Astyanax mexicanus: one gene and its partners. The protein of the gene in region 1 binds, or shares a complex with, the protein of each later gene. Links are inferred from orthologs where the notes say so. Each region holds a gene or a part of one and is shown in the gene's direction. Other genes may lie near its edges. The genes, in order: ahi1, cc2d2a, b9d1 and cep290.

Region 1 (7,185 bases):
TGACAGGTTGGTGCCGCTACATGAGGCTGGCTGGAGGAACTTTGACGTGACACAAGCTGTACATTACTGGTCAAAGTCCCAAAAGAAATCTCCAATGCATTTGGAAGTTTGGATTGAGGGAGAGAGGCCTGGCAAACATGCAGCTGAAATGGCAAAAAGAGTGCGCTTCACCACACAACACAATCCGGAAAACACCCTCACCAAAAGTGCTGGGACACCTGAGCTTGTTTTATACACGCTAAATTTGGAAGAATATGGGTAAGTTCACTTAAATTGTCTTACAGTCCTTTCTGTTTTGCTGTTAGTGAGTTCTTTTGAGGTAATGTTGAGGTGTGTGTTTCTGTTGTTTTTGTTAATTGAAGTATTTTAGCAGCTTAAGTTAAATCAACATTTCTACAGCTGTAAAGTGCGTTTTGATAGTTGTGAATTGACATCATTAACATGTGTTACATTGCTAACTGCAGTAATAAAGCTGTGAATAACCATGCTATCAAATATCTATTTCAAGTGTGGATTCAGCTATTCTGAGCCATAGCGGAAACTTAAAGAAACTCTTGTTTATTCCACTTTCAGCTAATGCTAATATGCTAGTATTGTTAGTATTCATTCTAAATAATTAAAATTAATGCAAAGTTAACATTAATCATATTACATTCTGTCCCATATTACCTGAATCCGTTTTTAGTACCTGCTTTAAGTATAAATAGCAAACAGCTGGAAAGGTCCAAATAGAGCAAAGTATTAATAATTCCATCTCCACAGGTCTCCAGGAGACTGCAGACAGGGCGCAGACAATGTGATGTGCTGTCGGGAGGAGCACTACATAGACTTCAGGGAGCTAACCTGGACGCAATACTGGATCATTGAGCCTGCTGGATACCAAGCCTTTCAATGCCAAGGAGGGTGCAAGCAGCCCAAGCGCAGTTACGGCTACGGGCAGAGAACCTGCAGGGTTGCACAGACAGCACCACTGCCAGTCATGTACCTGGTGAAGAAAGGAGAGCACACAGCAATCGAGGTGGCTGAATTCCCAAACATGATTGTTGAAAAGTGTGGATGCTCCATGGACAAACTCTTTACGGCTTAAGATACGGCAACACTCGACAGTTCACCCAAGCACTTAAAAGACTTTATGTATATTATAATCTTGAAATGCTGTTAATTTGTTTTTCTCTATAAAATGTTATATGTGTGATTCACTTATATTTTTTTAAAAATAAAGCAATTTATTTTCAAATTCTTGTACATTCTTCATTTATACCATTACACTGGTTTTAATAGCTTAAAGAGGTCGCAGATTGGAAATGCAATAAAATTTTGTTGTATTGGACATATAATAAAAAACAAAAGTGCATACTGTTAACAAGGAAATAGAAAATTAAAGGTAGTGAGGATCATACGAAACAAGGCAAGATAAAAATATATACAGTACCAGTCAAAAGTTCACACCTTAAATTCAGCAGTTTTTCATTATTTTTAAATGTATTAACTATTAACTATGAAGAAAAAAACATATATAATTATTTAATAAACAAAGGTTTGAATACTTTGAATGTCTTGCCCTCTGAATGTGCTTGAGAGCATCAGTTGTGTTGTGAAGAGGAATAATTGGTATACAGTGATTAACAGTATACCAAAGTTAACAGCACCCCAGATACATGCTACCTAAATGCTTCATGTATTTTGGTTTAACACTTTTAATTTTATCTATTTTATCTATTATGTGTTTCCTTATAGTCTGGATGACGTTACTATTCATTTACAATGTATTTACAATTTAATTTACAATTAATACAAATGTGTGTCCAAACTTATAATACAATAAATACCAATACAGATTTTGCTTAATTAGCACAAAACAGTTGCTAGACAGCAGCAGTGATTGTACATATTATTAACAGTGTAGTGTAATCATTGACCATTTATAATAGTATAGCTTCATAAAATTAGTAATTAGAAAAAAAAAATGTAATAATTTAGTGTCATTGTAACGTAAAGCCAATAAACCTTTCATGATTAATTAATTATGAAAGGTTAATAAAGGTTTGTTAAAAAGAGAACCCAATTTAGAAGTTACAGATTCAACACAGTGAACATTAACACATTTAACATGTGTTAAACACACAACTCAAAAACAATAGGTTAAATGTGAAATAAATATGATTTTATTATTGAAACCCTATTGTGTATGCCCCATATTGCAAAATTGACCTGATGGCTCATAAATGCTTAGTCCACTGTACACTGTAGGACATAATAATAATCATGCTTTGTTAAATTATTTTAATTCTTTTTTATTCATTCGTTCTTTCACTTTGTTGGGTCTGTAACCAAATCCAAGCAATCTGACAAATGGTTTCACAAAAATAGGGCAGAGAACAGTATCCTCTAATCCTCAATGTGCTCTATCAACTGCTGAACAATAGATCTAGATTGCTAGACACAACAAAGGGTGAACTCAAAGTTATCCAACATTAAATAATCTGTTTTCAAATAGGTCAATAAGAGCAATTTGCTCCTGAACTATCCCTGCATTGCATGTTTCAGGCACACAACATACACCTAAGTTTATCAGGTCATTAACAGACCACTTAGTCCATTATTGACCCTTTGAATTTGCACAAAGAATTTGTCTTTGGATTCACAAAAGTTAAAAGCATTTTAATCTAGTGTGCAACCCCCAAGAAATTATTAATAATTCAAAGTCCTATAGACCACACTTTGTGTGAAAAATAAAGTATCTTATTGTCAGTCTATTATTTATCTTGCCACCCTGATTATCCTAGCCAGTTTACTTTTACTTACTAAAGTTAAATGCCCATAACACAGAGAAATATTAAACATTAGGCGTAGGTAATACGGCCCTAAAATAACAATACAAGGTTTTTTTATAATAACAGTTTTCTTGTTAATATTACAACACTTCAGTAAAACATCTGTTAAATGTTCTCTATTTGCAGAAAAAAAAGTTACTTACCAAGACAATTATACAATATATGTCAGACATACAACAAACCATCCAGAATTGTTTGTATGTAAAAGGAGATCAATCAGAATCAATCAATAAATAGATTTACGATTTAGGGCTCATCCCCAATTTATTTTTATATTTTATGCAGATTTTTTTTTCTGGTTTGTTCTACTGCTCCACTGTATGATTAACTATCCTCACATTGCTAATTTTAACCACTCTCATATGTTTTCTCAAAAAACTTAAGACTTGAGTTGGGCAGTTATTTTAGGAAGGTGTCAATATGAAAGTTCACAATATATTAGTGCAACCCAAAAAATAGATAATCATTAAAAAGTTAATTTATTTCAGTAATCCAGTTTAAAATGTGAAACTCGTATATTATTTAGATGTCTTACACACAGAGTGATATATTTTAAGCATTTATTTCTTATATTGTTGATGATTATGGCTTACAGCCAATAAAACCCTCAAAAACAGTGTAAATTTAAAAGTGTAAAATTAAATCTGCATCACGGATCTCCTTGTAGAAGCTGCACTGACTTTGGACTTGATATAACACAGTGGACCAACACCAGCAAATGACATGGCTCTCCAAACCATCACAGATCAACAGTAAATTCTGCATTTTATTTGGAAATCAAGGGACCAGAGTCTGGAGGAAGAGTGGAGACGTGCACAGTCTAAGCTGCTTAAGGTCTAGTGTGAATCCACACTGAGTGAAGGTTTGGAGAGGTGTCATCTGCTGTTGTTGGTCCACTGTGTTATGTGTTTTTTCCCTCTGCTTCACTCTCCCTCTGACAGCTGTTATGGAGATGCGGATATCATTTTCCAGCAGGACCTGACACACTGACCACAGGGCAAAAAGTATCAATTAGTCTTATATAATTTAAAAAAATTCAGAGGCACTGATTTCTGGGTTTTTATTGGCTGTACGCCATAATCATCAACAATAAAATAAATAAACGCATAAAATATGTCACTCTCTGTGTAATACATCTGTATAATACATGAGTTTCACATTTTAAACTGAATTACTGAAATAAAGTTACTTTTTTCAATGATATTCAATTATTTTTAGATACACTTTTAGATGCTCTAACGCTGGCTGGTGAGAGTCAGACACGTTGCGCATGTCTGTTTGTTCCACCAGAATGCGCAGTCTGATTCCGCTTTTTATTGGCTGTCTTTGAGGTAACAACACACAAGGGGCGGGGCTAAAACTTGTTTATTGTTGGCTGCCATCGCAACGAGTCAGCGGCTAACGGACTGTAAACGTTTTCATAGGATATGGTTTGATTTTCAGGTAAATAATCCTGTTTTGTACAACAGACACTTTTATTAACTACGCGACCCATCTAAAAAAAGGCGGGCTGTTACACTGGGGTCGCTGTTAGTTAAGGAATTAACTGGCTAGGCTGTATCCTACTGTAGTAACACGTTAGCCAGCTAGCAGTCCTGCTAATCTATGGGACAGTGTTTTCAGTGAGAGAGCGGAGATTCATTCTCAGGGGGCGGCTAATGTCCTCTCGGGCGCCGTTATAGCCGGGAATGTTAAACCAGGCACAGCAAGTTCTGTTGTTGAGTGGAGTTTAGAAACTGAAAATGGCCTGTGGCCCCTTTTTCTCTATGAGTGTAGCTTATTTAGTGTTTGGTACTGCAGTAGAGCTAGCTAGCGTTAACTCAGCAAAGTCAGCACCAGACAAGATTGATTTCGCGGTTAGCTGATCAGCTAGCTCGGTTACCTAAGCTAGGCTAGCAAGCTGCCTTACATCATGACTCCTGTACCGAGCTATTTTAACCAGCTTAAGCCAATAGAATTCACTAAAGGCTAATTAAAGCTTCTTCTGGATTCAAAACACTGGCTGTCTCGTTAGCTAGCAACAATCTAGCTAGCTAACTACATTTGAACCAATAATCGGCTAGCTAAACTAGATAGGTTAACTAAGTTACTTCTCCTGCTTTGTTTGACAGTTTAACTAGCTAAGATAAATAACGTTAACCTATGTTTTCAGTTTCAGGGATCTTTTGTGCACAGAATGACTTTGCTCCCAGTGCTTGAGGATGCCGGCAGGTAATCACACTTTAATTAATGTTACCATCCAAACCATACCAATCCAAACATATACTGATTACCTTGCATGTGGACGGGCAACTAATACTGTTTGTGATGAACAGGTCAGAGTGATGTGAGAGCAAAGACTAGAGCCCGTTTTGACGAGGTGTTAAAGAGATACACAAACCCTCCCTCAGAGAAAAAGAAGTCCAAACAGCGAGGAGTCGAGCTGCAGGAGAATGTTGTGGTAGGTTACGTGGTTATGGAATGTTTAGGGCTATCAAATATGAAATAATAATAAAATAATAATAATAATACAATTATTTTCTCTCAGTCTTGATAAATAAAGTACCAGCTAAAAGTTTGTCTGTTTTTTGTTATTTTTTCCCCTACAATGTTAATGAATACTGAAGTCATCCAGACTATGAATGAACACATAAGGAATCATGTAGTAAACTTCCAAGTGTTTAACAAACCAAAATACTCTGTGAAGCATTGAGGTGGCTCTTATCTGGGGTGCTGTTAACCTGCAGTTCTGAGGCTGGTAACTGAACTTATTGGTCCTAATGAGTGCCAGTTTTATCATAATGTTTTGATTGGTCTTTGCAAGTGCATTTGAGGATGCTTTCAAAGTTTCGGATTTAATTTTTTAAAGTATTTCTAAAGTATTTTTTTTTCCTTCCTTAGTTGAGAGGTCTTGCCATAATATGAATTAAAACATTACTCAAATAGGGCTATTTAATATATACCAAGTCTACATCTTCACAACACAACTGATGCTCTCAAACTTTTTAAGAGGGCAAGAAATTCAAGCAATTATCTCTTGACAAGTTCAGCACAGCTGTTACCTGAAAGTCATTCCAGGTGACTACCTCATAAAGCTGACTAAAAAAATGGCAGAAAAAAAACATGAAACATGAAACAACAATATCTTACTCTGTCATATTTTAAAACTTGATTTGTTCTTGTAATCCCTTTTAGCTTCAGACATTGAGCAAAAACTTGGATTTAAGTAAAACCACAGAAGAAGATGAGACCATTCTCAATAACACGTATGACCCTACACAGGGTAGCCCAAGGTACACTAAGAACAGACGCAGGGAGGTCGAGGTGTCAGAGAAGATCAATGTCAGCAATAATGTAAATGGAGAGAAGTCCCCACTGGCCTCAGGAAAGAAGAAGACTAAAAGAAAGCTGCCCCCACACCCACTTGTTCAGGATGAAGTAGACACAGACAGAAATGCTGCAAACTCTGAAACAAAAGTCACTGTTGAACCAGACTGGGGGCAGAACAGAAAGGGTAAAAGAGGGAAGAGCAGAGGCGGAAACAGAGATAGTGGACACAACGCAGGCTCTGAACCTGAAGATGATCTTCTCAAAGAATATCAGCAACAGATTAGTCAAGATGAGGAGAGGGCTATAAAGAAAACAACTCATAACAGACAAGATGAAAAGTTGCCCAGGAGCCAGGAAACCTCAGTATTAAACAATGAGCTCGGAAAGAAGAAGAAAAAGAAGAAGAACCTGAGGGGTAGTGATGAGGATGAAAGGTAATTTACAGAAAGCATTTGTTTTTTAGTCGTTTGTGTGTGTGTGTGTGTGTGTGAGAGAGAAAGATCTTGTTCCTTAGGTTTTAAAGCATATTGCAAATATTGCATATAATGCAAGTGATCCTTATTCTTTGTTTTTACATTACCCAGTTATCAAAGCTTTTATATATTTTTTTTCCATTGAAATTTCACCACAGCCATTCTGAATTTGAGAAAATAAAGGAGCCTATTCAAGGTGATGCTGTAGAAGAAGACACCGTAGATACAGCAAAACCCAAAGGAAAAAAGAAGAAGAAAAGAAAAGATGGTAAGTCATGTAACACCTGCCAGTCATTCTAGTGAAACTGTAAGATTTATGAAGTATTTACAATTTTAAGAGTATCTAACGCAGTTAGGTTTACCATGCATATGGTTATAGTTTAATATTTAGGCCATGTTTCTGCTTTTTTGGCTAAAGTGGTAGTTGAGGACAGTCAGACAGAGGTGGAGGATTCTCAGAGGCAGGTCTTTGATGAAAACCTGGTGCTAGGAGTTTACATTCATCGTACAGACCGACTCAAGACTGACCTTCTGGTGTCCCACCCCATGGTCAAAGTGCATGTTGTGGA
Region 2 (7,825 bases), on another chromosome or scaffold:
CATGTGACGTGGCCAGAAGAACTCCCCAGTACCCCAGTTTTTATAAAAAATATATATTAGTCTTAGCAGGGATGGTTGTTCCAGCACACTGGTACCATTAAACACAATATACACATATATAACACATAATATGGACTGCCACTTAAATATTTAGTTCAAGTCTTTTGCTTGCAATAACTGAATCAAGTCTATGACCCATTCAACTTTTGCAGTCTTCTTTAGTGATGCTTTTCCAGGCTTTCACAGCAGCCTGATTCAGGTGGTGTTTGTTTTGGGGCGTTTCTCTCTTTAGACTCCTCATTAGCAGGTAAAATGCATTCCTGATAGGTTTTAAGTCAGAAGATTGACTATGCCAGTCTAAAACCTTCCAATTCTTACTTCTGATGTAGTTCTTTGTAATTTAGAGTGTTATGGTTCATTATCTTGCTGCACGATGAAGCAACTTTCTTTAAACGAACAGACAAAATGCTTCTATAGACTTCTAGAGTTCCTTTGTACATAAATAAAGTTTAATGGGTATGTTCCAGAAAAAGCCATGCAAGCCCAAGCCATGACACTGGACACCTCCACTGTGTTTCAAAGATAAGCTCTTATGTTCAGGATCATGAATTCTGGTTTGTTGTTATTTTAACCCCTGCTTGTCCTGCTTGTGTTCTCTCAGGCATTAAAGGAAGAGTGGGGCCAACGGGTAAACTCGGCGAGCGTGGAGAGAGAGGACCCATAGGGAAGCGAGGTCCGGAGGGTGATGCTGGAGACTCAGGACCCCCGGGACCACCAGGGTCACCAGGAGAGCGAGGAAAGAAGGGTCAACGGGGACCACGGGGCACCCCAGGCACGTGCCTCTGTGGCAGCCTGGTGCCCAAATCAGCCTTTTCTGTGGGCATCACCAGCAGCTACCCAGCTGAGCAGTCACCAATCAAATTCAACAAGGTCCTTTTCGATGAAGGTGGGCACTACAACCCGCAGACTGGCAAATTCATCTGCGCATACCCAGGAGTCTACTACTTCTCCTATGACATCACACTAGCTGATAAGCACCTGGCCATCGGCCTAGTGCGGAATGGAGAGTTCCGTATAAAGACTTTTGATGCCAACACCGGGAACCATGACGTGGCTTCTGGATCCACAGTGATGTACCTCAACCCAGAGGATGAAGTGTGGCTAGAGATCTTTTATAAGGATCAGAACGGTCTGTTTACTGATCCTGGATGGGCGGACAGTCTCTTTTCAGGGTTTTTGCTCTATGCAGATACTAATTACCTAGATACATTGTCAGAGGATTACACTTAGACGTAAATAATGAAGCATTCATTAGAGAGATGTTTCTCAACCCTGGGCTTGGAAGATCACTGCCCTTCACTTTATAGTGTTTACTCTGCTTCCAGCACACCTGATACAACTAATTAGCTCATTAAAAGTGTAAGGATTGGCCCCTGGTCAGGGCCCCCTCCAGCCACCAGAGGGGGGCCTCGAGTAACACCGTCACTTGGGTCTGTTTACTATCTGATTCAGAGGGCTCACTTACTAGAGCGAGCCCAACCACTACAAAAAGCCTAAGACTTATTCAGTAAAACAGTGGAAAAACACTAAACTGTTCCGGGCAATGTACCTTTAGGACCAGGGCTGAAAAACACTTCCATGCACAGAATTAGGCTTTTCCCAACTATATCTTGCCACAGTGTATGTAATTTATAGTAAATTGTGACAGACAAGTGTCTGTACCATTATTTTTCCATGTCCCAAAAGGATTTACAAGTGTTTACAGTAATAATTTTAGACTAAGGATAAGCTTAATGTGGTGTTAGCAGACCTGGACCCATGTAACACAACATGTACCAAGTTGGAGTTTCTAGTCTTACAGTTATTTAGCCCAGAAACACTGTGTATATGCAATGCATTTTCTTGTTCAGTACAGTGTCATGGTCTAGTATGTGGTGCTTTTATATATATTTCTTAAGATAAGGTAACTAATGTACAATTTAATTATGAAAATATTATATAATGTCTACATTACTGTAATTGAATCTGATGGTGGAACATATATTTTGTATTTATTGTAACAGTTGTATCAACACATTGGTACATAAGATACTTTTGTAAATATATATATATATATTTATACATTATACATATATAATACAGTCTATAAAAACTTTGTACAGTCTATAAAAAAATTACATTGTTTTTACTGCTCTGTTCATTGGATCTGAAACCGAACAATGTTTAGTCCCTTGAATGCAGTTTTGACAGTTTTCAGATAGTACTGTTCCGGAGGCTTAGGATGCAGGGCTGAGTCTTGGCTGTGTGAACTGTGATGTATTAGCTTGCATCATTAGCTTATTCATAAGAGTCCTAAAGTCTAGGTGTCACATCATTTGAAGTCTCATCATTTGTTTTTCTTTTCTGCAAAGAAAAAGTGTAAATGTCAGTAACACAGTCTGTCATGAGGATAAACCAACTACAGAGATACACACATTACGGAGGAGTTAATAAATAACCATTTTAAGTGTGTAGATATAATATACTTCTCTATAATGGAAAGTGCATTTCTTGGTTCCTCCTACAGTAAATATTCCTTGGTTCCTCCTCCGGTGTGTATTCAGATAAAACATGCAGAGGGGAATTTCCATCTTTACATGATCATCATCATCAGCTGGAATGCATATTTTCAAGCCAATAAAAACACTACAGGTATGTGTATGTGTAAATCATAACAGTAAGAACATGCTCTGATCCTGGAACAAAAATGTTTCACAAGACTCATTGCACCCGTATAGCAACCACTTAGCAACACCACATTAACCATAGAATTATTATCTATAATCCTCATAGCAACCAACAGGCATACCATAGCAGCATATCAGTTGTTGTACCTTTCACACTACATGACTTACAGGCAACACAGGGTGTGCTTTATCAGTTCCTCTGTAGTAAAACCACGGTTTGTTGCGTCATGTGAAAACCATGTAAGCAGACTTATCTGGCTTCTTTTCAACGACACGTTTTGTCATGAGAACACGGCAAAACTAAACATGTACAGAACTAGAAATACCTCTTGAATGGAGTACAAAATGAATAGGTTCATATTGTTGCTGTCCAATGTTTAGTTCACTACATAATTTGAACACACAAACTGTCCCTTACACTGTGCCAACATTTATTGACTACTTTAAAATGACCTGAAATAAATACATTTTACATTGACTTCTATTAAAACTTTAGAAGTTTTTTTCTTCTTTAGAAGATTCTTGTTTTTCATTGGACAGCAACAATATGGAGAAACTGAGCAAAATCAGAGTTAAAGTTTATAAATGTCTGATAATTTTAGACTGGCTGTAACTCCAGCATCAGCTCACCAACCAGTCAGCACAGAGTAGCAGTATTGCTAGCGCCTAAAACTTGTTTTCTGTATGGAAATGTATGCGTTCATTGCTTTACTAGTAAAATACATTATTCTGCTTTCTAAAATTAAAGAAATACTATTTTTAATTTAAGTTTTTAGCTTTTAGCTAAAATTCGCCCCCATTCTTCAGGACTCACTCACAAGTTCCCTCTACTATTTAACAGTGTTTTCCTGATATAACAGGGGAAAGAGAAAATACAGAAGAAACACTTTCGATCCGTTGTTCTCTTATTCTACGTCATTCCATTTTACCCAGTAAATGTAGCAATATTGTTACTGTGAGCTGACTGGTTGGTGAGTTGATGCTGGAGATAAAGGCAGGGCATGTTGAAAAGACTTATAACTGGAGTTTAAAACCATTAAAAATTGTCTGTGGTACTGTAACATTTGATATTGTTCTGTGTTGACAACATTTATTAATTAATTTTATTTGCCTAGTGTCTGCGACACATCTGCGATCACTCTTTCAACCCTGGGTGAGCGTCCTTCAATACTGTATACTACACAAGTGTGAGAGCTACAAGTGATTGCTGATTTGCCTCTGATCAAAGATTTTTGTGTGTGTGTGTGGGCGTGTGTGTGTGGGGGGGGTATGTCGGCAGAGGCTGAAAGTCACTAATAAAGTAACTTGAAAGTAATTTTAAAAAAAGAAAGAAAATCAAGTAATCCATAACATAACTTTTGCATGTAACGTTTTTCAAGGGGTGATCAGTAATCAGATAAATATATTTTTTTATATTTTTATCCCATTTTACCCTCTCATTAGGACTCCTGCTATCACTAGTGATGCCCCAACACCAGGAGGGTAAAGACACAAGCTCAGAGGAAAGTGCAGTGACTCGGTTCAGATACATCAGCTCACAGACGCCTTATGCTGAACCACGTCACCCTTTGGTGTGATGTGGGGAGAGAGTGCCATGTACTCACCCAGAGAGATCAAGGCCAAGTAGCTGATAGCAAGTTACATGAACAGGATTCGTACCTGCAATCTCCCATTCATAGTGGCAGCACTTAGCCCGCTGGACCACTCAGAGCCCAGATTACTTTTTCTGAGTAACTATGCCATCACTAATGGCAACCACCAGTAACAACCTACTGACAGTTTGGAGTCAACCCCATAGTAACCAGCTTAGCAACCATATAGTACCATCTTAGCAACAGCTTAGCATCCCCATAGCAACTATCTAGCAAGGGCATTTTTGCCCAAGTATCCACTAGAAGCAAACTAGTGAATCTGAATGGAAGTGGGAAACACTTCTACTTATTCATTCAGTATTTTTCAGAAAACGCACTTTTCTGTTTTTATTACCTTTTTTTTAAACATTTTTTTAGAACAAGATAAAACACAGCTTTCTTTTGAACTTACCTCATCGCAGTTTGTTGAGTGACAGTGTCCTTGGCCAATGAGAAGACGGGCCGCGAGATGAGACCCCGCCTCTTTCAGCATGCAGGGTAGTGTGTCGCGCTGTGTGAGCGGTTCGGTTGAGGGGAAGTATTTACCGTTACCAGGCAGCGGGGGAACAGGATGGCGGCTAACTCTCAGTGTTTCAGTAAGTGTGGAGAAATAAACAGGAATAGATACCGTGTTAAAGCATTTATAAAGCTATAAGACCTGCTCAGTTTTTAAATATCACAGCGGAGTGTCGATAACAACCGCCTGGATAACAAACACACGCGCTAAAGCTGTAATTTTCACTAGTTAACCGAGGTTTACCTAGCTAGCAGCGGGATTAGCTTAGTATCCTCTGTGTATAACCTAACGGTACCGTTTCTGTCTCCAGTCTTGCTCTTTTATCCGTTAACCATATTTTATTTTTTGTATTTAGACAGAGCTGACTGAAATATAACTCAGTATGTCTCCTCGTATGAGCGACTTTTAACGTCAAACCTGTTGCTAAACGCAGTTCACAGGTTTGTTAACAAGATATCTTTTTTTTTTTATCAGAACTCTTCAGGTTTGCTGTAACGTTAACGGTTTAACCCCTTAACAGGCCTTGGACTGTAACTTACATGGGCTACAACTGTAGGTGATACAAACCCCTTTTCTCTACAGTAAAATAAGTTATTTACATTCTGAAAACACAAGGTTTAGAGAACAAAAAAAAAAAATCATTTGTATTGTCAACAACATGGATTTTAAAAAGTTTTGGAAAGCACCATTTTTTAGGCATTATGCCTAATTTTGACAAAAATATATATATATATTTCTCAACAATATTTTTAATCATTTCCAGTACAGTTACAGTTAGGATTTTCTTTAGTAATGCTTGAATAGAAATCCTCAAGATTTATGCGTGCAATATCATTGATTAAAATGCTGGCCTGTTAAAGGGTTAAATATGCTGTTCTCTGTATGGTTTCAGGTGAACCCTGTCGTTCTCTCCAAAGAAAAGCTTCGACTCTTCTCTCACCTGCCCTCTGAAATGTAGTAAACACAATCCACAGGCTGAATATCATTCAGAAGAGAATAAACTAGAACCTCCTCCTCCATCATGTCCACTCCCAGGTGAGCAGCACTGGAGCTAACTTATTGAAACAGTAGTAGTAGAGAAGAAATGATGATACCAAATATAGTACCAGTCTAAGTATTGGACACCTATTTTCAGTCATTTTTTTTCTTTATTTAAATTATTTTCTACATTGTAGATTAATATTACAGACATGAAAACAATTAAGGGACACAGTCGAATTACATAGTAAACAAAAAAGTGTGTCCTCCACAATCCCCTGATCTAAACCCTGAAAATGGGCTTGGTGATTTGGGATGAGCTGGAGCTTCGAGGCGTAAAGGAAAAGCAGTAACTATTGTTCAGCACTAGGGTTGCAACGGTATGAGATTTTCACGGTATGATAACCGTCTCAGAAAATACCGCGGTATCACGGTTATCACGGTATCACAGTTTGTTACATATATTATTAAACTGACCCTTAAAGAAATTACAACAAAGGTTTTTTGTTCAATTAACTATTTATTGTAGAAACCTGGAACAACTATATAGATAATGTCTCCTTAAAAAAAATAAACTGTACACCATTAGGTGAAGGAAACCAGGTTTTTCCACTACTCTTAAGGTCATTAAGGGTGTATATAAAAAAAAATATATATATATAATATATATATATATATATACACATACACACACACACACACACACACACACACGTGTCACACATTACATGTCCTCTAAGAAGTAAAGATCCTGTGTTTAAACTATTCAGTACAATTATTTAAGTTTAAATTATACAAGTTGGTGTATAACCAGATACTGCAGAAAGAGGGTATTTATTTCTGACATAATCCTCACAATAGAGATTTCTATTTTAAGGCTTTCACACCGAGTCTGGTTTTAACACATGAAAAACAGGCACGTCAGAATTTGAAAATTAACGCATGTAAATGAATGGCGTCTTTCACATCCAGTCCGGCGAGCACCTTTACACGGACACGTGAATCCGTCGTAGCACACACTTCACGCCTGTACCTGCGTGCCCAAATTTCGGATAACTCAGCGCTTTTGCGGGCGCTTACCGCATGGGTTGTGCACGACTACAAAGAGATTTTATTTATGTTCAGATTAAAATGATAAACTAAACACATACTTTGCGCTGCACGGCGGGGTGGTGTTCTTGGAGATGGGAGAACAGGTTTGACGTATGTCCACCTTTAGCTGTGACTTTACGGCCACATTGATTATAAATCGGATAACCATCCTCGGGTGCGTTCGGCGGGTCTCTGAAATAGTCCCACACTGCTGATTTTAGTTTAGCCTTTTTTTGGCCGGACGGAGATTTGTTTAGTCTGATGCACTTTCTGCTGTTCTCACCGCTGTGTGCTGAGCAGCTGAAGCGGAGCAGAGTTGCGCATGCGCGGGTGAGTTTCTCCGCTGGCTTGCGTTTTACCGGTAATAAGCAAACACACACGGTATGATAACCGTGCATTTTAATACCATGGTATACCGTGAAACTGGTTACCGCTGCAACCCTATTCAGCACCTCCAGAAAATCCTTCAAGGTGCTGAGAAAACTATTCCAGGTGACTCTACCTTATGAAGACACTGAGATTAAAATACTAAGAGTGTGCAGATCTGTCCTCAAAGATAAATGTGGCTTTTTAGAAGAATTATAAGTATAAAACACACTTTTCGTCTACTGAATAGTTCAGCATGTGTTCCTGTATAGGTTTAATGTCTTAAATATTAGATTTACAATGTAAGCACATTGAATGATAATAATAATAATAGTAGCACCCAGGCTAACTAAAAACATGAAAGCATCATGTTTTTGCCCAAACCTTATTTAAGTGAGAAATACATATTGAGTTGTGATTTGATTGCTTTTTACTGAAACAAAGTAAAAGGATAAAAAATAGCGCTTGTGCCCTATATCTTGGCAGAAGTGTACAAAACCTTAAAAAAAGAAGAT
Region 3 (7,350 bases), on another chromosome or scaffold:
AAGACCCACCTATGTTTTGGGGGGAAAATGATTTCTCTCATTATTTATTAAAGGAAAGGTTCCTAAAAGCATCAAATGCAGAGCCACTTCCCCATGCATACATAATTAAGGAGTGGTTGGAGTGGAACACCTACATCCTTTATCTGTAATTTGACGCATGCAGATCCACTCTGACCCACTCATCTGTGTCTGACATAGGCCATTACACTGTCACGTAGCTGCACTCTAGCTAATGGAGAAGCAATATTAAAGATAAGCTTTTATAATAAACTGCACTTTTAAACATGATTGGAGACGGGAGAGGGGCCGTAAATCGATGGCAATTGTACATCCAGTGCATTGGGATAAAGGCCCAAATGAGATTTGACCACAAAAACGTCTGGCATCTGAAGGTCAAACAGCTACTTAGAGCGCTTCAGGGTTGTGAATTGAGTCTTCAGGACGTTAGCCAGTCTACAGCCACTTCATACAGAGTATGGAAACTGATTTGTCCATAAACATCAGAAAAACAAACACATGACTAATGCTTTCATCTATATCCTTAAAGATCATCATCAGGATCATTTCTGTCTGCACTTACTCTAAGATGTAAATAAACAGAGCAACTCAGCAGGACAGCGATACAGAACAAATCACCAGGGAAAGTCTTAGTACTCAGCTAGAATGCATCAGTTAAAGAATATCGACCAATCGACACTTTTATTTGCTGACACCACCCTTTTAATCAATGCATTCAGCTGAGCTCTGGTGCAGATAAATATACACCTACTATAGGCATTGTGCCTAATGACAGGTATAGGTATTTGTTCTGTGGAATGATGGTGCTCCATTCAATACTTTTGGGATGAGTAAGGGAGTATATCTATGGGTGAATAGATGTTTCTCTCTTAGAAATGCCCTCATCATTTCCACATTAATGCTAATTAGTACAGGCGTCTGTGGTCTGGTGTAACAGAGCTGGGGATCTGGTGAAACATAGGACGTCCCAGCCATACCCTCCTCAAAACAGCCTCTGGGCACATGGCATTTCCTTGACATTTGATGCAGTGTGTGGACAGTTGGTGGATGTTTTGGTGACACTGGAAAATGTCAGCTGGTTAGAAATGTCAAATTAAATGGATCTGGCTCTCTAATGGTGTTGAGATTTGGGGTATGGAAGTAGGTCTGCAGACCCCATTATCATCAGGTCATTTCTGGGCACTCTACAACTTCTGACCACGTCTTACATGAATCTCCCCCACAGGTTTGAGAGGAGGGGGAAGGAGTAATGAACTGCACTTCAAAGCCACTCTGATGAGGAAAGAGGTGAGAAAAAAATCCCACCCCACAGAAATGACTCTCGCTGCCTTTATCCTGTATCTAAAAAAAGGTAGATGGAGGTTCCGCAGAGGACTTTTAAGTAGTGCAGACAAGTCTGTTGCTATAAATAGTGGCTGAGAGTCAAAGAAGCTGGTCCCAGAGAGGGACGGTTGGCGAAAGACGAGGAGAGCTCAAACTGGGACGCGCTTGAGCCACACAGTGACGATCAAGCCTGGTTCGCTTACTGTACACTGTTAAAATTATAAGATCTTTGAGATACTTTTTGGGGTTCTTCCATTTGGAAGTGTGGAGGAACCCCCTTAAGGTGCTTTGAGGAACCTTCAAGAAAAGGTTTTTAGAGAAAGCCTTTCTAAAAGGCTTAAATTACCTTAAGGGTTTCCTCCCAAATATTCCACCCAAATAAGAGTATAGACTGTAGTTGGGTGCTGGTACAGTGTTTAGGTAACACATAAACCCAAGACTCAAAAATTATTGATTTTTGCAGCACGGTAACATAAACACTGTCTCTCTGAACCTGCCTCTGTCTCTGTTTCTCTTTTACTCAGGTTTTGAAGCAGCACATGCTCTGTTTGTCTGGCAGACAGAGAAAAGCAGCTTTTAAAGAAGCCTGTGCAGTGGGTGATCGATACAGAGAGTGAACAGGCAAAGAAATATGTTTTTGATGTTGTTTATCTCTAGGTATGAGATAAGCCACTCTCCACTATTATTGTGGAATCACCGAGCTTATTGACATCCTCATATCTTCTTTTTGCCAGATCACCAACAACAAGGCATTCAAATTGTTGTAAGATTTCATAAGTGGAGTTATGAATATAAATTAATTTTAGGAGATTGACCCACACCCTTACTCCTCCCACTCTCCACCCTCTATAAACCCTCACTTCCTCTCTACCTGGATGTCGAACAACTTCACACTCAACTCCTCCCCATCTTCCTCCTTCTTTCCTTCAAGTGTTGAACAGCTCCAAGTGTCACTTTTGGCATCTCCAAGTGTTGTTTTGGGCATTTCCAAGTGTCCTTTTGGGGATCTCCAAGTGTCCCTTTGGGCATCTTCGAGTGTCCCTTTGGGCGTCTCCATGTGTCCCTTTGGACATTTCCAAGTGTCATGTTGGACATCTCTCAGTGTCTTTTTGGGCATCTCCAAATGTACTTTTGGGCATCTCCAAGTGTCCTTTTGGGCATCTCCAAGTGTCCCTTTGGGCATCTCCAAGTGTCCCTTTGGGCATCTCCAAGAGTAATTTGGGCATTTCCAAAAGTCTTTTTAGATATCTACAAATGTCCTTTTGGACATCTCCAAGTGTCCCTTTGGGCATCTCCAAGTGTCTGTTTGGGGATCTCCAAGTGTTTTTTTTGGGCATCTCCAAGTGTTTTTTTGGGCATCTCCAAGTGTCTTTTTGGGCATCTCCAAGTGTCCTTTTGGCATCTCTGAATGTCTTTTTGAGTATCTCCAACAGACATTTTGGCATCTCCAAGTGTCCGAGTGTCTTTTTACGCATCTGTCCTTTTGGCCATTTCCAAGTTTCCTTTGTGCATATCCAAGTGTTGTTTTGGGCATCTCCAAGTGTCCCTTTGGGCATCTCCAAGTGTCTTTTGGGCATCTCCAAGCGTCTTTTGGGCATCTCCAAGCGTCTTTTTGGGCATCTCCAAGTGTCCCTTTGGGCATCTCCAAGTGTCTTTTGGGCATCTCCAAGCGTCTTTTGGGCATCTCCAAGTGTCTTTTGGGCATCTCCAAGCGTCTTTTTGGGCATCTCCAAGTGTCCCTTTGGGCATCTCCAAGTTTCCTTTGGGCATCTCCAAGTGTCCCTTTGGGCATCTCCAAGTGTCCATTTGAGCATCTCCAAGTGTCCTTTTGGGCATCTCCAAGTTTTCTTTTGGGCATCTCCAAGTGTCCCTTTGGGCATCTCCAAGTGTCTTTTGGGCATCTCCAAGCGTCTTTTTGGGCATCTCCAAGTGTCTTTTGGGCATCTCCAAGCGTCTTTTTGGGCATCTCCAAGTGTCCCTTTGGGCATCTCCAAGTTTCCTTTGGGCATCTCCAAGTTTTCTTTTGGGCATCTCCAAGTGTCCCTTTGGGCATCTCCAAGTGTCCTTTTGGGCATCTCCAAGTTTTCTTTTGGGCATCTCCAAGTGTCCCTTTGGGCATCTCCAAGTGTCTTTTGGGCATCTCCAAGCGTCTTTTTGGGCATCTCCAAGTGTCCCTTTGGGCATCTCCAAGTGTCTTTTTGGGCATCTCCAAGTGTCTTTTTGGGCATCTCCAAGTGTCTTTTGGGCATCTCCAAGCGTCTTTTTGGGCATCTCCAAGTGTCCCTTTGGGCATCTCCAAGTGTCTTTTTGGGCATCTCCAAGTGTCTTTTTGGGCATCTCCAAGCGTCTTTTTGGGCATCTCCAAGTGTCCCTTTGGGCATCTCCAAGTTTCCTTTGGGCATCTCCAAGTGTCCCTTTGGGCATCTCCAAGTGTCCATTTGAGCATCTCCAAGTGTCCTTTTGGGCATCTCCAAGTTTTCTTTTGGGCATCTCCAAGTGTCCCTTTGGGCATCTCCAAGTGTCTTTTTGGGCATATCCAAGTGTCTCTTTGGGGATCTCCAAGTGTCTCTTTGGGCATCTCTAAATGTCACTTTGGGCATCTCCAAGTGTCTTTTTGGGCATCTCTAAATGTTGTTTTGGGCATCTCCAAGTGTCTTTTTGAGCATCTCCAAGTGAGGTTTTTTTTTTAAATAAGAAAGGTAAAAATAAAACAAGGATGTATGAAGATCAAAAACAAGTTAATTGAGAAATACATTCAACACTGAATTACTAAACTAATTTATTGTTAAAATATAGAAAATTATTATATTATATAGTGTAATATTATTATATAATATTATTATATTATATTTTACTATATATTAATACATGTTGCGCATCAAAGGGTTAAAATAGGATCAGCATAAATTATGTTACTGTAATTTTGTTGTCAAATATCTCCATCTAGTGGCAGGACAGATGCATAAATCAAATCGCGTTTCATCTAGATTGGACCTCACAGGCCCCAGTAGTAAAGCCGTCGCTACTTAGCGGCTGGAGCGGCGTTAGCAACCAGCAGCCATTTCTGTAGTTATGTAAACAGCGGAGGAGAGAGGATCAGTTAATTTAATGAAACTAGGGATATATTAATATTTACTGTTTTATTAATGATCTGAACATGACCTCCCCAAACCCCTCCGTGTTCCTGCTGATGATCAGCGGGCAGATCGAGGGCGCGCAGGTAAATCTGAACTGAAAATAACGGATCTATAAATAGTGATTATCTAGTGATTAAACTCAGTTAAATAAAGGTAATAAAGTAACTAAAGCTGCTGCTGTTTATGTTTTAATCTCTTCATTTATTTCTAGTTTCCAGAATACGATGATTTATACTGTAAATACTGTTTTGTTTACGGACACGACTGGGCTCCAACTTCAGTAAGTAAAATCCAGATTTATCACTCTGTGCTTTTCTTTTTATCACGCAGCCCCTAAGGTGACATCATGTTGAAAACAAATGAACGACTTGTTAAGGCGTGGGAATGAGATCCTAATGATTGGCCACAACTGCGTGGGAGTAAGATAATTAAGTTAATTTAAGTTGTGGCTATTTAATTAACACGTACCACATTTTAGCTTCGTAGCCACGGATTAGGATCTCATTCCCACGCCTTAATAAGTTGTGGCCACGTCTTTTTTACATGATGTCACCAAGGGCTCCGTTTTATTATTTCCCCTCTCCTTTCTTAAATCCAGAATGTTAGCTATATTCATGTTGAATATTTAGCTAATGTTAATGTACACTACCAATGCAGCATACACTGTGCAGGTCAAGAGCTGTTTGAGCATCAAAGGCCAGCTCAGACTATGCCAAATCAGCTACCAGCAAAAGCTGGTCTTGAGCTGGAATCTTTGTTTCTATATGCTTGTCTTTATATTAATTTATTTATTGATGAAATAATTAAATACCTTTACCTTATTGCAGGGCTTAGAGGAGGGAATATCTCAGATAACATCGAAGGGCAGAGGTTCCACTCAGAGTCTGGTGTGGAACTTTCCTCTCGACATCACTTTCAAAAGCACCAACCCGTTTGGATGTATGTATTTCTATGTGTTACTAAATATAAGGATACAATTTGAAGTGTTTATTTGTTATATGTTGAACTTTAGAAATGAAAAAGGTTTCCAAGTATAGTTGGAATATACCTTTGCTTCTGTGCACAACCTGGATTTGAAATAAAGCAGTCAAGATGTTATTGAAGTGTAGATCCACTTGGATAATTTTTTACATAGTTCTTCCATTTCCCAGTTCGTCTCATTATGTAATTGGACCCACGTATATGTTTATATATATTTATCAGCTCCACTGATCATATAGAGCACCTTATAGTTATACAATTACTGTATTCCTTCCACAGGACCACCACAGAGGTCTTGCATCTGGGCTGCAATTGAAAAAAGGAAGACCAGTGAGTTTTTGGCTTTCTAGGTCACATGATATTGCGTTCAGTAGCTCCTCCATGTCCACTTGCTGTGGTGTTTACTTGGTTCTCCATGGAAACACGTGGCCAAAGTGTAATCATGGGTGCTTGGCAGTGGACAAATAGCTATTTTATTAAACGCGAGGAGACGAAACTCGGAGATGTGCGTCCAAATGGAACTAAAATTAGTGAAAAACAGCAGGTAATTCAGCCTGTAATTTTCTCAGAGGACGTCTGAGAAAAACACATGGTCGTTCCAGTCGGGAATAAAATCACAGAGGACCCCCAAAAAGGAGAAAATGAAGATCCCCATAAGGACAGCAGCGAGTGGAAATGGAGGAGCTACTGAACGTGATATCACGTGACCGAGAAGGCCTAAAAACCCAATCGTCCTCCTGTTTTTTCAATTGCAGTCCTGGCGCAAGAGTTTTATTACTGAATAGAAGGACAGTGAGTGAACACAGTGTTTAAAAACTCCAGCAGCACTGCTGTATCTGATTCACCCATACCAGCACAACATACAACAACCTCATACACCACCACCATGACCCACCACCCAAATGATACCTGCTCTGTGGTGGTCCTATGGTGACCTTCCGTTTTGACAAATTTTCAATTTCCATTTATTCTGTATATTGAAAAACAAGAATTTTTGTTATTTTAGTTGCACAATGTCTCTTGCATGCTCTTGTAATACATGCGACTGAGCTCCATTGTAACTGTGTTGATTTTATAGGGCCTCAGATTGTGGTTAGTGTCTATGGACCGGACACGTTTGGCAATGATGTTGTCAGAGGTTATGGAGCAGTACACATTCCCTTTACCCCAGGAAAGTAAGTGGGATGTTCATATTGGAACGTAATGCATGAATAGAGGAGTTTCATCTGTTTGCTTTATGTCTGTTCTGTTTAATTCACATATTAATAAACTCTTCCTGCAGACACACACGGACCATTCCAATGTTTGTTCCTGAATCCACGTCTAGACTGCAGAAATTCACAAGGTAGTAAAGCAACCAACAGTCTGATTACGATTTACATGAACTCTAGACATAAATTAAACACCATCTAAACTACCATGAATTAAACTATCATGTTTTTTGCAATACAAGGTGCACTTTAAATTCTTTAATTTTCCCCAAAATTCGGTGCATCTTATGTATAAATTCAGTTTGTAAGGAACAGTAAAGCCACTCCACTGAAGTGCAGCGTTTTAACAGATTTTCAGTGAAGTTTCTTCAGCACAGAGTCTGAAGCAGTATTAGCATTAGCAGCTAACTGCAGCACTAGCCCTTTTGCCGTTCAAAAGTGTGTATATGAGAATGTTTACCGTGTTAAAACAAGCTACGTGGGACAAACTGTTAGCTAATAGCACCCTGGCTTACTGGATCACTCAGGGTTTCTCAGTGTAGTGCTATTGGGTGGCATTTATTAGCGCTTAACGCTGCTAACTGTTGCTAGCACAGCTGCTAACCATGGCTAGCTCTGCTTCTGACTGCGCTGTTGAAAATATTGGAAATGTAAGCTTACAGTAAATAAATGGAAGCGCT
Region 4 (7,550 bases), on another chromosome or scaffold:
GGCTATGCTGCTAACCGGGGAGGTTAACACTGCTAACCGGGGCTGGCTAACAATGCTAACCGGGGCTGATTATGCTGCTAACCGGGGAGGTTAATACTGCTAACCTGGGAGGTTAACACTGCTAACTGGGGCTGGCTATGCTGCTAACAGGGGCTGATTATGCTGTTAACTGAGGCTGGCTATGCTGCTAAACAGGGCTGATTAAACTGATAACTGGGGCTGGCTAACGCTGCTAACCAGGGCTGGCTAACGCTGCTAACAGGGGGTTTCTATACTGCTTACCGGAGAGGTTAACACTGCTAACCGGTGGGGCTGGCTATGCTGCTAAACGGGGCTGATTAAACTGCTAACTGGGGCTGGCTAACGCTGCTAACCAGGGGGTGGCTATGCTGCTAACCGGGGAGGTTAACACTGCTAAACGTGGCTGGCTAACAGTGCTAACAGGGGCTGGCTATGCTGCTAACCAGAGCTGGCTTACACTGCTAACCGGGGCTGATTAAACTGCTAACCCTGGCTGGCTATGCTCCTAACTGGGGCTGGCTATGCTCCTAACTGGGGCTGGCACTCAACTTTGGACAAAATACCAGATCTCTAAGCTTACTGTTAATCAATGGAAGCGCTTCGTTCACCCATACATTTTTTTTAAAAGAGAAATCCATGTAGATTAACATTCAACGTGGGTGAGCTGAGAACATCATAAACAAGCAGGGCTTCAGGACCATCCATCCATCCATCCATCCATCCACCTACCTACCTTAAGAACTAAAAACTATATGTATAAAACACTTGGGGCACCTACAAACTACTTTTATTAGTGCTTTCATAACATCTCTTTATAACATCTCAAATACATTCACTTCTTAATAATACCACTCAGTCGACCGTGGAATATCTAAGAGCTCTTCAAAAATGTTTATAAAGATGCTTGATTTTGTACATACTGTACACACATATATTATTTTGTTTACTTACAGCCTCTGTGTGGACAGGGTGGACGGCAAACAAGAGTGCGGCCACCAGGCTGGTCTTGCGGTCCAGCAGCAGTCGGCAGAAGCGAAGGAAGAGCACACACACAGCCGCATGGAGAAGCACATTGAGCAAGTGGTAGGACAGAGGAGTCAGTTGACTTAGCAGGTAGTTGAGGCGGAAAGTGAGGACAGTGAGTGGTCTGTAAGATTTATGGCTCCTCTCCTGCACAGAAAGACGGCAAAGTCATATTCATCCATCCTCATAAGAATTGAAAAACCCTGCTCCTATAAATCATCTATATTAACTAGCGCCATTGTCAGATTTGCTCCAGAGGAAGACTGGTCGCAATAGCAATGTGCCTTGACTACAGGTACAGCCAGCAAGTAAATGTACACGCAGAAAGATCAATGAGGTGAAAAAGAATCCTAGAGTTTTAGCTGAAGACTTACAGAAATCTCTGGCACATGCTAACGTTTTTCACAGCAGATATCCCAAGAATATTGCTGAACTGAAACAGTTTTGTGAAGAGGAATGATCCAAAATTCCTGCTGACCATTGAGCAGGTCTAATCTGCAACTACAGGAAACGTTTGGTTGAGGTTTCTGCTGCCAAAGGCGGGTCAACCAGTTATTAAATCCAAAAATTCACATACTTGTTGTGTTCAATAAAACCATGCAACCATATATATATTTTTGTGATATTAGTTTAAGCAGACTGTGTTTTTATATTGTTGTGACTAACATAAGGATTAAAACACATTTAATGACCCATTTATGCAGAAATCCAAGTAATCCCAACTGTAACATCCATTCCAATATAGTTATTTAGTGTGTAAATTATTGCAATACTGCTTACACCCGACACAGTCACACTGTTATCTGCAAAATATTCAGATGTGAAATGTGATCAGTACTGTCCAGTACCATTTGTTAATTTTTTTTGTCATTACTAAAAGTCGCCTTCCGCTAAAATCCACTTTTTCTTGTTCTTCGTAAAATACTATAAGTCTCTCTGAGTTGTATATGAATGCTGCATATGAAACAATTCTTCAACCTCCATTGTCTGCAGTAGCTAGTAAAAAAATAATGTTCAGAATTGGCATTGATGACATTTCTTTGAGCTGCGGGGCCGCTTGTCTGACGTTAAGTAAAGTTTAAGGGTTAACTTTATACAGCACTCAGTGCTGTATCTTTACAACTAAGGCTGTATCTCTGAAAAAAAATTATTCTTTGAGTTTTAAAGCTGTAAAATTGACTGTGGGGCAAAGCCAGGTATCATTCTCTGCTGTAGTGCTGTTATTCATACTAGAGACTAGACAATTTAAAAGTAATGAAAAAAAACAATAGAATGAGACCTTTAAATAAATTCCTGAACAGCATGGCTGAACTGCATCATGTAACTCAGTGTCACAGTGCACTGTAGGACCCTACCTCTGACATGGGCGTCCCCCAAAAATCATTGAGGAAGAGGTTCTGAATAGGCGTCGAGGGACGAAGGTCCTTGTTATCCAAAATAGCAGAAACATCATCAAACACAAAACCACAAAGCAGACTGTTCCAGAAGCACCCCAACACCAGTCCAGTCAACAGGAAAGCCTCCTTCCACAACACAACAGCCATCACTAACGTGAGTCCTCATTGAGCACTGTAAAAAAAAAAATCCAATTCCACATCAGAGATTAATGTTCAGATTCAGATTACTGTTAATATCAGTCATGCCATTAAAGCTATGGTTCACAAAAAAAATCTCATTTTCAAATATAACATCAAAAAATGTTTGCTAATGCTTATTCCCATGACTAAAGGCACACAAAGCATGTTCTTTTTAAAGAGTTCTTATTGTGAACTATTTATCGACACAGACAACTTCCAGAATATCTCAAAATACATGTTACAAATAAAAATTCAAAGGCAATGTTAAAGACATGGATCCACATAGAGGCTGGGAAAAGATGTTAAGAAAAACTGAAATGGTTTAGCTCCAACACCTAAAACTCATTTCAATAATGGTGAAGGGAGGATCAAGGCTTGGGGCTGCTTTGCTGCCTTGGGTCTTGGATACCTTGTATCAATAAGGGCACAGCTGGTCGCTGCACTAATAGCTTCCCTAATGCTGCCATTCTTTTTAGCAGCTATCTACCTTAACTACATTACCCACTAACGCACCACCTGCTTAATCAAAACAGCTCCAGATCACAACTCACTAGAGGTGGGTAACCCAGGTCCAGAAAGTAAAATCCAACCCAGAGTTTTGTAGCAGAGCCGCCCAGGGCAAACCCTGGGTTGTATTTTTACTTTCTGGACCTGGGTTACCCACCTCTACAACTCAACCCTTCTGTAGAAAAGCTGTGCAGCAAAGCTTACTGTAGCCTCTGTTACTGAATCAGCTTCTGTTACTGTATTATCTTCTGTTACTGTATTAGCTACGATACAGCTACTGCTGCTAACGGTGCTGAAAAAGGAAGCTAGCTAATCCTTGCTCCTAACAGCAGCATATGAGATCTATAAAACACATTATACAAGTTACAGACCCACCTTGTCATGGCTTTGATGAGATAAACCGTAAACAGAGCGTGTGTGTTTGTGTGTTTTTGCGTTTTAAGCCAAGAGCAGCCTTTATTCGGGAACAGCAGTCGAGATTTTTTTTAATGCTAATGGGCTTTTTACAAGTTCCGGGTCGCAATGCTTAAGAGTTCAGATGAGGAACATGAATTCATATTCTGACCTTATTTCTTTATTTATTTACAAAGAATATATTATTTAAAAACACGTGCCCGTAATTTCAAATATCATGACGTTTTTTTATAGAATGAATTGTTATTTTAATTAATAATATTTAGAGGACTTTTATTATGAAAACCTTTACACTCCAGAACGTTTGCTGATCTTAAATCATTGTCTTCTGCAGTTGAAGAACAGCAGCGCCATCCACCGATCCGCGTGATCTGTAGATTAGTAGTCCCCGACCCGCCCGCGGAGCGCCACTGAGCGGTAGCCTAGCAACAGCACAGAAAACGGGACTAGCCAGCCTGCTAATGCTAACAGTGCTAACGCCAACTAACTAGCTAGTACAGCCATAAAATGCAAGGCTAAAATGGGTAAAATATTTAGCTTTTTGGAGAATTTCAGACGTCAGAGGCTACAGCTGGCCATATTATTGGACTGTCTTAGATGGTAAACTTAACTGATAACTTATCTAAGTTATAACTAAGTTATATATTCAACTCTGTTTTCTCATCCAGTAACGTTAGGTTAGGTTACATTAGCCTGGTTAGCAAGTTAAATAGAAAGCTAAAACCGAGATAAGCTACTAAAAGTCAGCTTGTTTTTTTTTTTTGTTTTTGTTTTTTTGTCGTTGATCTTCTTTAAACTCTCTTCTCGGGCGCATTGTTGTCCAGATAGCCAGCCGTTTCATTAACTGAAATGCCAGCTAAAGTACCGTAAATTAAACCAGTTTACCTGCAGGCAACGGTTCAGCAGGTAGTATTTAACACTGTTTCCGGATCCTCCACAGTAGCCCCAGTTTTACATGTTTAAAGTGACTGGTGTTGTAGTATAAAGGCTGTTTGGAGGCTGTGGACAGATTTTGGACACCAAACAAACCGCAAGATGCCTCCAACTACAGACTGGAAAACAGTGATGACTGTTGATCCTGATCTTCTGGGAAGCGAAGAGGAGGAAACCATCTGTGATATTATTCTGCAGGTAACGTTAAACTCTTAGCATACCGTAAACAGTAAAGTTTCAGTGATTGTAGACGGTATGTCATCTATCCTCAATGTTAAAATTTTGTTTAGATATACAGTGGCATGAAAAGTATTTGCTTTCTTTACAGATTTTTTTTTTGTTTTTGCATTTCTATCATACTTTATTTTTTTAAGATTATTGAACAAACATTAACATCATACAAAGATAATCTGAGTAAATATAAAAAACATATTTTAAATTATGATTTCAAAACCAATCTAGCTGTTTGCCCCCACCCAAATATCTTAAAAAAACGCACATTATGCTCAGATCTGGAAAAAAATATATCAAGAGTCATTGACATCTATCATTTAAGAAAAGGTTATAAAGTCATTTCTAAGGATTTGGGACTCCAGTGAACCACAGTGAGAGCTATTATTTACTAATGAAGAAAACATGGAACACTGGTGAACCTTCCCAGGAGTGACCAACCTACCTAGCTATACACAGTAGGTCACAGGCTGGTTCCATGCATACAGTCATTGGTTCCACCCCGGCTAGGTGTAACCCAGCCCCTTTACAATAACCACACCTTTTTGAATAGAGCTGAATAACGTTTTTTAAAACGAATTCTGTGGGGATATAAAAAATAGAATATAAGCAGAGGTTACACTAGCTGCTGCATTTAAATAAATGAGGTAGAATTACAGTATATTAAAAAATGTGATTGAAAGTTGTCTGTTTGCCACACAAACACAGCTTTCTGCAACCGAACAGCAGGGGGCGCCTGACCTGTGGTCACTTTTAAGAGAAGATGCTCTGTCCAGCTAGACACAGTCTATGGGCATAAAAAAAAAAACAATGTGGCCTGTCTCACATTTGTCAAAAACATCTTGATGATCCCTAGGACTTTGGGTAAATATTATTTCGAAATGATGTGACAAAAGTGGAAATTGTGAGTGTTTGTCCCATTACATCTGGCATAAAACTAACGCATAATTGCAGAACAAGACCATACAGAAAAATCATACTAACGTTATATGTAAAACATGGTGGTGGTAGTGGGATGATCTTGGGCTGCTTTGCTCCTTCTGGGTCTGAAAAAAACATGCTGTAAAAGATGGAACCAGAGGGGTATTCCAGAAAGGGGGTTAAGTGACAAAACCGGATAAGTTAGTAAACTTAGAGTTCACGGAAACTCAGGGTTTTCTGTTCCAGAAAGAGAGCTAAGAGAGAACCTGAGTCAGTTACTGTAGCAACTTGCGTTCTGAAGCTAACCTGCTCGCTGGCAGGTTAACTTACTCCGAACGCAGGGTTACGCCCACTTTTCTTATACAAACGGATCCAGTTGATATTGAAGCGCAAATTATTCACAGAGCTCTCTGTTGTGAACGAGTAATTTCACCCAGATTAGACGTGTTTTCAGTTTCTCCTCAAACGTTACCGTTTTTCCTCGCAGTCAATTTCATACCTAAACAATATTTTAAAGCCTCACATTTAAAATATCACGCATCGTGGATCAGCCCTCACATCTTTGCAGACTTTATGCAGTGCTCTCAGTTTCTTTGCCAATGGGCTTTTTTTGTACAGTGCAGGCAGCAAAGTGCAGCCTGCAGTGCAGCAAAGTATGCCTAGCTTTAAAACAGTTGTTGTCCAGTTTTGTGGTGTTCCCTGGGCATAAGCCTTTAATGAACATTAAAGAGGAATTCCACAGAATTGCAGGTTTGTCTTTATAACAAAGATTACAAAATTATCAAACAAATCGGAAGTGAAAGATAAATAGCTCTGCAAAATTTTATATTTATATTTATTATATATTTAAATTTTGTAATTTAGGAGTCATTGGATGCATGGATGGAACCCACATTCAAATTAAAGCCCCTGCCGAAAATGAAGGAGATTATGTAAACAGAAAATCCTTCCACAGCATTAATATACAAGTACTGATCATAAATTTACTACTTTTTAAAAAACAAAAAGGACTTATATTTAATACATTATAAAAACTTATTTTCTCCTCCATTAAGACCATACACAGGAAATTTGGCAGTGTTAAATCAACACTGTTAGTGTTAAATCAACACTGTTAGTGTTAAATCAACACTGTTAGTGTTAAATAAACACTTATTAGTGTTAAATCAACACTTCTTAGTGTGGATTTAACACTAACAGTGTTGATTTAACACTGCCAAATTTCCTGTGTATGTGATGCTACCAACATTATTACTAATTTTGAAGCCAAATGGCCAGGCTCTGTACATGATGCAAGGATATTTCGAGAGTCTGCACTATACAGTACATTTCATCAGGGTTTGCCTATGTTTTCGATTTATTTATTTTCTGATTTTGTCCTTATTCTTGATAAAAACAAATATACAATCACAGCAACTACTCCCACCTTTAATGTATATTCTAGCAACTCAATTTCCAGTCTTGTCTGTTTTGTTTTAGGTGAACCTAGTATAAATCTTTAACAGCCATCTTGAAAGAAAGAGACGAAAATACCATGTTATGCTCAAATAAATAGCTTTGTGTCCAGAATGGTTTTGATATTTGTTGAGACATAAGCATTCTCACTGTTCCAAGCTGAGCTTTGGAGATGGATGGTTCCTCATCAGATTCCTGATCACCAGTCACATTCTGTTATCGGACAGTCACACACATTACCATGTTTAATCAAATGATATAGCAGAGATTGTTTCATCATCATCATCCTGCAACAGGAATATATATTTTTTTGTTAAACACAGATATTTATTCACATCAAGTAAGATTTGGGAACATTAAGATAACTTACAACTGTAGGAAGCTGATTTAGTTGCATCATTTTAGTAGCATTAAACATGTTAAGAATATGAATGCAGTTCACAGTTTATGAACTATAAACTAATAAAT

The links.
Region 2: ahi1 (region 1) and cc2d2a share a complex: the UniProt entries of both Homo sapiens proteins name them as parts of the tectonic-like complex. The link is inferred for Astyanax mexicanus from reciprocal best matches to the Homo sapiens genes AHI1 and CC2D2A.
Region 3: ahi1 (region 1) and b9d1 share a complex: the UniProt entries of both Homo sapiens proteins name them as parts of the tectonic-like complex. The link is inferred for Astyanax mexicanus from reciprocal best matches to the Homo sapiens genes AHI1 and B9D1.
Region 4: ahi1 (region 1) and cep290 share a complex: the UniProt entries of both Homo sapiens proteins name them as parts of the tectonic-like complex. The link is inferred for Astyanax mexicanus from reciprocal best matches to the Homo sapiens genes AHI1 and CEP290.

What each region holds. Positions count from the first base shown.
Region 1 is NC_064421.1:18,203,606-18,210,790, reverse strand, and holds the start of ahi1 (jouberin), read left to right. Parts: upstream 1-4,168; 5' UTR 4,169-4,277; intron 4,278-4,986; 5' UTR 4,987-5,035; coding exon 5,036-5,045; intron 5,046-5,149; coding exon 5,150-5,274; intron 5,275-6,008; coding exon 6,009-6,577; intron 6,578-6,774; coding exon 6,775-6,884; intron 6,885-7,034; coding exon 7,035-7,185. Other genes in the region: lft2 (lefty2), read left to right, coding at 7-258, 763-1,087. UniProt on the Homo sapiens protein: Involved in vesicle trafficking and required for ciliogenesis, formation of primary non-motile cilium, and recruitment of RAB8A to the basal body of primary cilium.
Region 2 is NC_064420.1:12,025,238-12,033,062, reverse strand, and holds the start of cc2d2a (coiled-coil and C2 domain-containing protein 2A), read left to right. Parts: upstream 1-4,806; 5' UTR 4,807-4,953; intron 4,954-5,766; 5' UTR 5,767-5,895; coding exon 5,896-5,909; intron 5,910-7,825. Other genes in the region: complement C1q tumor necrosis factor-related protein 7, read left to right, coding at 662-1,290. UniProt on the Homo sapiens protein: Component of the tectonic-like complex, a complex localized at the transition zone of primary cilia and acting as a barrier that prevents diffusion of transmembrane proteins between the cilia and plasma membranes.
Region 3 is NC_064410.1:53,741,997-53,749,346, reverse strand, and holds the start of b9d1 (B9 domain-containing protein 1), read left to right. Parts: upstream 1-4,346; 5' UTR 4,347-4,498; coding exon 4,499-4,561; intron 4,562-4,689; coding exon 4,690-4,758; intron 4,759-5,305; coding exon 5,306-5,417; intron 5,418-6,537; coding exon 6,538-6,634; intron 6,635-6,741; coding exon 6,742-6,804; intron 6,805-7,350. UniProt on the Homo sapiens protein: Component of the tectonic-like complex, a complex localized at the transition zone of primary cilia and acting as a barrier that prevents diffusion of transmembrane proteins between the cilia and plasma membranes.
Region 4 is NC_064417.1:17,363,112-17,370,661, reverse strand, and holds the start of cep290 (centrosomal protein of 290 kDa), read left to right. Parts: upstream 1-4,539; 5' UTR 4,540-4,577; coding exon 4,578-4,673; intron 4,674-7,550. Other genes in the region: protein O-mannosyl-transferase TMTC3, read right to left, coding at 973-1,191, 2,400-2,588. UniProt on the Homo sapiens protein: Involved in early and late steps in cilia formation. Its association with CCP110 is required for inhibition of primary cilia formation by CCP110.